Caenorhabditis elegans: one gene and its partner. The protein of the gene in region 2 interacts with the protein of the main gene of each other region in a pairwise test. Each region holds a gene or a part of one and is shown on either strand. Other genes may lie near its edges.

Evidence for each region. The genes of interacting proteins can lie anywhere in the genome.
Region 1: the proteins of lido-15 (region 2) and ndx-1 interact in a two-hybrid assay, tested with the Caenorhabditis elegans proteins (one large-scale study listed by BioGRID).

Annotation. Positions count from the first base shown.
Region 1 is NC_003279.8:12,677,368-12,682,353, forward strand, and holds ndx-1 (Putative nudix hydrolase 1), read left to right. Parts: upstream 1-1,839; 5' UTR 1,840-1,843; coding exon 1,844-1,949; intron 1,950-1,996; coding exon 1,997-2,074; intron 2,075-2,181; coding exon 2,182-2,264; intron 2,265-2,355; coding exon 2,356-2,563; intron 2,564-3,267; coding exon 3,268-3,358; intron 3,359-3,413; coding exon 3,414-3,560; intron 3,561-3,610; coding exon 3,611-3,743; intron 3,744-3,886; coding exon 3,887-4,047; intron 4,048-4,321; coding exon 4,322-4,412; 3' UTR 4,413-4,445; downstream 4,446-4,986. Other genes in the region: T26E3.10 (resistance to Congo red protein), read right to left, coding at 4,535-4,729. UniProt on the Caenorhabditis elegans protein: Probably mediates the hydrolysis of some nucleoside diphosphate derivatives.
Region 2 is NC_003280.10:3,810,651-3,813,948, reverse strand, and holds lido-15 (MADF domain-containing protein), read right to left. Parts: upstream 1,668-3,298; 5' UTR 1,644-1,667; coding exon 1,159-1,643; intron 1,105-1,158; coding exon 888-1,104; intron 834-887; coding exon 603-833; 3' UTR 521-602; downstream 1-520.

The sequences.
Region 1 (4,986 bases), on a different chromosome or scaffold from region 2:
TATTGCAAAAAGCCTCGAAAAACATAAAAAATTTAAGATAAGTCAGTTTTCACAGTTTTTTACCCTACCAAACTAAAAAATGCCTGAAAATGTATGTTTTCACAGTTTATAGGTTTAAGATTCTTTTAAATGGTCAATTTCCAATATTTTTGGACAATTTTCGAAATATTGCCCGAATGGCGCAGTGGGATTTTTCATATCTACCAATCTCAAGACCAGGGTTCGAGTCCCCACCGTGGCACCTTTTTTAATAATTTTTTTTTAATGTGACTAGACTAATTCGATAGTGCTGAATTCGAAAATCATAGACTCACAATCTGAATATGAAGAAAAACCGAAAACTGGTTTTCCAAAACTGCCAATTTTTGGCTCAAACCTCCGACAATTAAAATCCTTTCTCACAAAGTGCTCAATGTGCAATTTCAATTCGAAAAACATGTTTTTCTGCGTCTCTACCCCCATTTCCAAATAGGTCAGAGAAAACAAAAAGGCGCGGGAGGGGCTCTTTTTAGTCACCCAGCCGCCTTCCAATGTGGCGGGGAGAGGGCCCCCACGACGCCATTTAATGGATTTGTTTGCATTTCGTTGTGTGTGCATACTTGCAAGCATATACTATTCCTTGGTTTTCTCGATTTGTGCACTTTTGCAAGTTTTCGCCGGAATCAAGAGGGAATTTTTGGATCACAGGGATTACAAATAGTCTGAAATTTTCTAAATATTAATAGTTATGTTAATTTTTTGAAGTTTAAGTCATTTTTGAACACTTTAAAAATTTCGCTCGAATGGCTCAGTTGGATTTTCCAAAACTACCAATCACAACACCGGGGTTCGACTCCGGTAGATGACACCAATTTTTCACTCTTTTCTAAAATATAATTTCCTCTATGTACCATGTGTTCCAATTTATGATGCTCAGAAAGCCTATGTCATTTATACCGGAAGCTATAGAAGACATTTGATACTACAAAAGGTACTTGACCCACCCTCCAAACCAACGATATCCTAAGAAATTCCTGCTATACACATGCAAAATGTTGATCTCGCCATTAAAAACTGCTTAAAAAAGCCAATAAAAATATTTGCCACAGCGGGGGTTCGAACCCCGGCGTTGAGATTGGAAGCTATCCAAAATCCCACTGCGCCATTCGTACATTTTCTGAAATTTTGTAATATGACCCAAATTTTTGGTAAAAACTGGTTTTGAACCTTTTTTCAGACCGTTTTAAACCTCGCCGCCTCATTTTCCCAGTCAATCCCGGCGTTTTCTCCCTCTAATCGCCGTGCCCCATCTCGTCACCCTAGTTTTCGCGCAGTTCATTGCCCAGTTAATAAAGATGTTCCGCCCGTTGCATTTTGCCCTTTTTATCTCTGCGTATCTCAATGTATCGTTTTCCAAAACGTTTCAATTGTGTGTATTTGTTTGGGTGTTCGTATACGTTTTTCGTTGGAAGGAGTTTTTAAAAACGATTTCTAAACATTTTCATAGGATTGATATTGATTTTAAGCCACTGCAAAAAATTTTTAAAAATCCAAAAACTTTAAAAAAATTGTTTAAAAAAATTCAAAAAACAAAAGTAAAATTTTTTCCAAAAAAAAAATTCTTTAAAAATGTCAAAAAACTAATATATTGCACAAAAAACCCTTATTAGTTTAATAAAAAAACTGAAAAAATAATTTGCCACCGTGGGGACTTGAACCCCGGTCTTGAGATTACCAACTCCTCCAGAATCCCACTACACCATCCGTGCACTTTTTTGTCAAAAAATTTTTTCGCGTTTCGGAACCATTTTCTTGTAAAAATTTCGTCAGATATATCAGTTTTACCAATTTTTATTCCAGAAAAATGCCACTTGGAAAGTTGGACCTAGTCGAAGAGGAGTACATCGCCGAAAGCGGAGATCACACGCCAGAAGCCTCCCGGCTTATGGGAAATGGTGATTCTGTAGTTGGTAAGCCTTTGAACTGATAGGAATCTGGAAATTATAGAAGTTTCCAGAAAACTTGAATGGTCACACAAATGGGGCAGTTGCGAAGAAGAAAAATGAGCCAAGGGTGCCGGATATGCAGTTGGGCAGTGAGTTTTTCAAGGTTTTTTGTTGTAAATTTGATACTTGAAAAACCTTTTTGAATGAAAAAAAAATAATAAAAAAAAACAAATTTTTAAAAACCTAAATATTCCAGAATGTCGCTATGTAAGGTTACATGACAATGTAAACTATGTCGCTGCTGCAATTATTCTACGGAACCAGGGAGACGACACAGAGGTAATTTTTATTTGCGGCGATGGGTCTCGAAACGAAAAAGCTTTAGTAGCTCAGCCCAAAAAATGATTTTTTATAAAATTCAAATTTCCAGGTGCTCCTAATCCAAGAGGCCAAGAAAAGTTGTCGTGGGAAATGGTATATGCCTGCCGGACGGGTAGAAGCTGGTGAGACAATTGAAGAAGCAGTGGTACGAGAGGTTAAAGAGGAGACTGGGTACAGTTGTGATGTTGTGGAACTCCTGTCACTACAAGTTCAAGGATCCGGATGGTATCGATATGCTTTTTATTGTAATATTACAGGTGAGAACTCAGTGAGCTTATTTATTTTTCTATTAAAAATTTGAATTTTCGCCAAAAATGTTCCTTAAAAATTTGAATTTCCCGCCAAAAACTCTCAGGTTCAGGCATTTTATTTGTAGAAATTTGAACTAAATTCTGCAAATTTTGACCACAATTTTTGAATTTTTTACCTAATTTACAACTTTTGAGCAAAATTCGTACCTTTAGACCCAATTCTGTTAGTTTTGCTCTAAATGTTTCAAAATTAAACCCTCACCACTATGAGCGTGATATTTTGAAACGTTTTCAGTGAATATAGCTATGATTTCTCATCTCAACGCACTTGAATTAGCACATGGTGTCAGGCAGTCCCATCACGGTTCGATCTACAAAAAGTGCGGGATTTTTTTGCCCAAAAAAAATGAAGTCAGCACGTTCTTAAACAGACAAAATCACTTGAAAGGCTGCGTCTCTTCTCCCGCATTTTTTGTAGAAATACGTAGATGAAGCCAGACACCCTGATACCACGTGAATTAGCCAAACGAAGCTTTGAAGAAAGAATTTACCACTGTGGGGACTCGAACCACGGTCTCCCAATTGAAAGGGGTTTCATCGAAAATCCCACTGCGCCACGTGCACAATTTTTTTGAAATACGCTATAAAAAGGTTAAAAATTTTTTTAAAAGCATTTTCAAATTCCATTTTCTGAATTTGTATTTTTCCAGGCGGTGACCTGAAAACAGAACCCGATCAGGAATCCCTAGCCGCAGAGTGGTATAACATCAAGGATCTCAAAGCCAACAAGGTTCAGTTAAGGTATCTGAAATTTTTTTTTTCGATCCTAAATTTTGAAACCAATTTTTTTTTACAGAGGCCGAGATTTCATCCGACTAGTCGACGAGGCCGTCACATACCGAACACACGGCCCCGTCGATTCTATTCCACGTGTAATGCCGTTAAATCAAAACGTTGCTGGATTATTTTTGGAGTTTATGATTGTCAAGCACTCTAGGGATGGGTAAGGGTCTTAGCTGCGAGGGAAAATTCACTAAAAAAAGGTTTATTCAGGCTCCGAACCGAGGTGCTCGTGCACAAGTCGATCAAGGACGAGACGTACCTGCTGGAAGAGGAACAGCCATTCCCAACGGTGGAATTTGGGTTCGAGTACTTCTTTGCGATGGTTGTATCCAAGTGTTATAGGGTGAGCGTGATTTGTAAAAAAAATTAGGCTTAGGTCTAGGCTTAAACATAGGCTTAAACTTAGACTTAAACTTAGGCTAAGGCTTAGTCTTAGCCGGCTCGGTTCACGAATTTCAGTTTTCTTCTGATCCTACAAATTTTCAGCATTTGCTCGAAGAAGGTGCCAATGTAGTATTTACACCGTCTCACGTGACGCGGATAAAATGCCACCCAAAACCAATGGAATCCCTGGCGCACGGAGTCTCAATAAGGGTTTACTGCGAGCACAAGCAATCCGCTTCAAAAGCCATCATTCGGAGTCCGCGGTGAGACATTTTGAATTAAAAACCTTTTAATTACTTTTAATTAGTCTGATAAAACTTTGAAAAAAGAAAGTGCCACAGTGGGGACTCGAACCCAGGTAGTTTGATTATAAAAGGTTCTTGTCGAAAATTCCACTGCGTCATTTGGACATTTTCGACAATTTTCTTTTTCAAAAATCGATTTTAAACCGTTTTTTTTAAAGAGAAGTTCATATATTTGTTCTACCTGAAGTCTTATTGGAAATAATTGAAAAATAAAATAATCCCGAAATTTCAGGTATCACTGGATATCCGTCGAATCACCGGAGACACGACAGCGATTTCACATGGCTCAGAAGCAATTCCGGCCGTCACTTCATATGCTTTAATGCTTTTGGTTTTCTTGAATAAACATTTGAAAAATTATTTTTTTTTTAATTTTCTAAAGACCAACTCTCAATATTAGTTTATTACATACATTTGAAAAAATCATTTTTTTCAAAAATTGAGATCACTGACTCCTTAACAAAGAGCTATAAGTTGGTGGAGGTGGCTCTTGGAGCACGTCATATGCAGGCGGGGGCTGAAGATCCGGTAACTCCGAGGTTTTTCGCAGAATATCTGTATTTCCTTCGTCGAAATCGAATATCGGTGCTTGTGCAGCTAATCGCCGTTTTTTTGCCATACCGACAAGGCACATGTAGATCTGAAAAAAATCGGTTAAAAACATGATTTCTCAACTCAAAATTAACGAAAATTGCTCAAAATTGCTCGAAGTTTCAAAAATTACAAGAAATTTTGATTTTCAATCATTTTTTAAAAAGTGTTCGAATGGCGCAGTGGGATTTTCGCCGAAAGCCTTTTCCAATCAAATGACCGGGGTTCGAGTCCCCACCGTGGCAACGTTTTTTTTCAAGTTTATATGATATTAGACTAATTATAGTGCTCTGATGTCAACCGTAT
Region 2 (3,298 bases):
GTTTAAAAATTGGAATCACGCATATTGATGCTTGAAAAATTGGTTTCGCGTAGAAATTTTGTCATAGAGTTAACTTGTTCTAATCGGTTCGAAAATCAATGATAAATCAACCAAATATTGAATTTGTTCAATAAAATTTTTTTTTTAATTTTTTTTAAAGCAATATTAATCCCAATATTTAATTATTTTTTCCAAATTTCATCTTGAAAACTCGAATAATCGCGAAATTTCGCGTGAAATTCATTTAATACCGTAAAAGTGTGCAAGCGCGCTCCGTTGGACTTTCCAATTCTCGATTTTCACAACTCTCCCGATTTGAGGCGCTGTGATCTGCAGTTTATATTCTAGTTAATTGTTAAGTCTTATAAATCAGCTAAAAACCAAAAACTCATATTTTTTCAGCTATCACTGCACAATAATTTTTTTCAGATAGTAAGCTCCGAGTTGACGAAACACTGAGAAGCGCAGGAATTAAAGACGGCTCGGCGGTTAATAGATGGGAACCGTGCCCATATTAATACTACAATGTTGCTTTTTTATTTGGAAATAAAGTTATTCGATAACATACGTAGATCAACAAACAATTTTATTATTAAAAAGATTCATCGCTTTGAGTTCCGAACTGGAAACCTTGCTGCTAGATCGCCGAACACCTCTGAAGCCGTCGAAAAATCCGCGTCGGGCTCATCAAAAGCAAGCACGGTGTAGGTGAGCACAGACCGGATCAGATTGGTTTTCTCGGGATATTGCTCGAAAATTCGTTTGATTTGCTGGCTTATTCGTTCTGTCTCTACTGCCGCTGGGCTGGATTCTCGAGGGCGTTTTAGAGACGGCTGAAAGTTTTCAAAATGTTGAGGAATATTGCAAATAAGTCTAAAAAACGATACCTTCTCCTCATCCTCTGCTTTTGGATTCGGCACTGGTGGAGAGATAGGTGAAGGTATTGAAGAACTCGACGAGCTTGCCTGGAGCATCTGACTCAGCTCATGCCTCAGATTCATCGGGTTTTCGAAAGCATTGAGAAATGGATTCTCCAGCTTAACCTTGGTGGGAGTCGAGGTCGATGAGACTTGTGGAATAAGAGATGAGAGGTACTTCATGGCGCTGAAAATTGGAATTTTCTAGAAAAATTAAATACAAGACTACAAGTTAAATTACCTATCATTCTCCTCAACCAACGACATCATATCGGGCTCTTCGAAGAACGATTGCATATCCTCTCCGCTGACGGGCTCCGAATTCCTCGCCTCATTCCCTGTTCGTTCTGCTCGCAACTGCCGATACTTGTAAAGCTTGTCATAGTAAAACCGAAGATCCTGGAACAGCTCCCATTTCTGAAGCTCAAGCTCAGTCTGGATTCTGCTCATTCCGCTCTGGACACAATTGTGAAGACGCTGGCCGAGATTCGACTTGATACTTCGGAATCCGGATCGCATTTGATCTACTGAAACCAGGATTCCTGTCCGCTGAAAAAGCTCGATTCCGACCGTTTCCCAGCGTTCCCGATCAATTTTTTGGTTGCTATTCCATAGGTCTTCTTTTGGCTCCAAAATGTTCAGAAATACTTTTTTGATGAGATTGTCCATCGGGAACTTGGTCCCCTCAATGTGCTCGGTGAGCTTTCGGTAGTCGGTGGCGTTCATCGCGAGCATCAAGTTGAACTCTGAAAATTTTTAAAGTTTTTAGTTAAAAAAAAAGAAATTTGTTTTTTTTTAAATAAAAACTAAAAGATTCTGAAAGAGACAGAGATTAGCAATATTAATTTTTTTCTCTATTTATTACGTGGTGTCAGGCTATCCCATTACGGTGTGATCTACAAAAAATGCGGAATCTTTTTTGCCAAGAAAAATGTGACGTCAGTACCTTGCGAAATCAGATGAGAAATCGGCGTGCTGACGCGTCTACTTTCCCGCGATTCATGTAGATCATGGGACACCTTGGCACCACGCGAACTGATAGTTCAGGACCCCACGTTGCCAGTAAGTTTATCAATGGAGCGCAATTGCAGCTTTACCCCTTTCTCGAGAAAGGTGTAAAGCTAAACTTAGTGAAGCGAAAAGTCAATATTAAAACATTTTTTGACGATGAATTTCGATAAAAGTGGGAAGAGAAAAAGTGAAAAAAAAAACTTTTTTTAGAGTAACATATTTCATTTCGACGACAAAAACTTTCAGCATGATAACTGGGACATAAAAAAGAGGTCGAAGAGACGCAGACAATGTTGAGCACGACAAGAAATTTGTTGTTGACGCGTTTTTGTTAGGCAGCAAGGAAAAATGTTCAAGGAGAGTGATGGGGAGCAGAGAAAAAAGGAAATTGCTGAGGGAGAGAGAGAAAGTTGTTGATATAATAAAGTCAGGGAATGATATGAAATTGAACATTTTTTTGGGTCTCGCCACGGGGTACTGTAGCTAGGAACGTTTAGCTTGCGGCAAGACCCATGACGCTTTTTTCCGGCCAATGGTAAATTGCCGGAATTGAAATTTCCGGCAAACTGGCAAAATGGCAATTTGTGGGGATTGAAATTTATGGCAAATCGGCAAACCGGCAACTTGCCGGAATTGAAATTTCAGGCAAATCAGCAAATAGCCGAGTTGTCGAATTTGCGGGAAAAAAGGCAATTGTAATTTTGCACATTTCTTTTTTCGAAATTTCAAATTTTCAATTTCAAGCGGCAAAATTGTACGCATTCTATGAATGTTCCTACATTTATTTTGAAAATTAAGCAAATTCTATGAAAATATTTAATGAAAACGGTACAAAAATTTCAAAAAAGCATAGTTTTAAATGTTTTCGTCTTATAAAAAATCACTCTGAAAACTTCCGGCAAATCTGATATCCGGCAAACGACAAACCGGCAATTTGCCGAAAAATGAAAATTTCCGGATAAAAGGCAAACCGGTAATTTCAAAAAATTTGCCAAACGGCAATTGTCGCCCACGTCTGAATTGAACCACAAATTAAAAGATATTTTTTAGTTTACCAAACGCAAATTAAACTTTTTTGAAAATTAGTTTTGTCAGTTGTCAACTACGATTTGAAAGTCGATACTAGTTGTGACAAACGTGCTGCAAAAATGTGGAGTGCGGCAAATAATAATGTGGACTGAAGGGGGGAAAGATATGAAAAACTGGACGAGAGATAGAGCATTGGAGACGAAGAGACGCAGACTGGCCGTGGGGTGGAGACGACAAGAAATTTGTTGTTGACGCCGCGTCGCTTTTTGTTAGTCAGCAAGAAAACTGGGAGAGAATTATAGAAAACGAGATAGAGAGGTGGAGGCGCAGGGAAAGAGGGG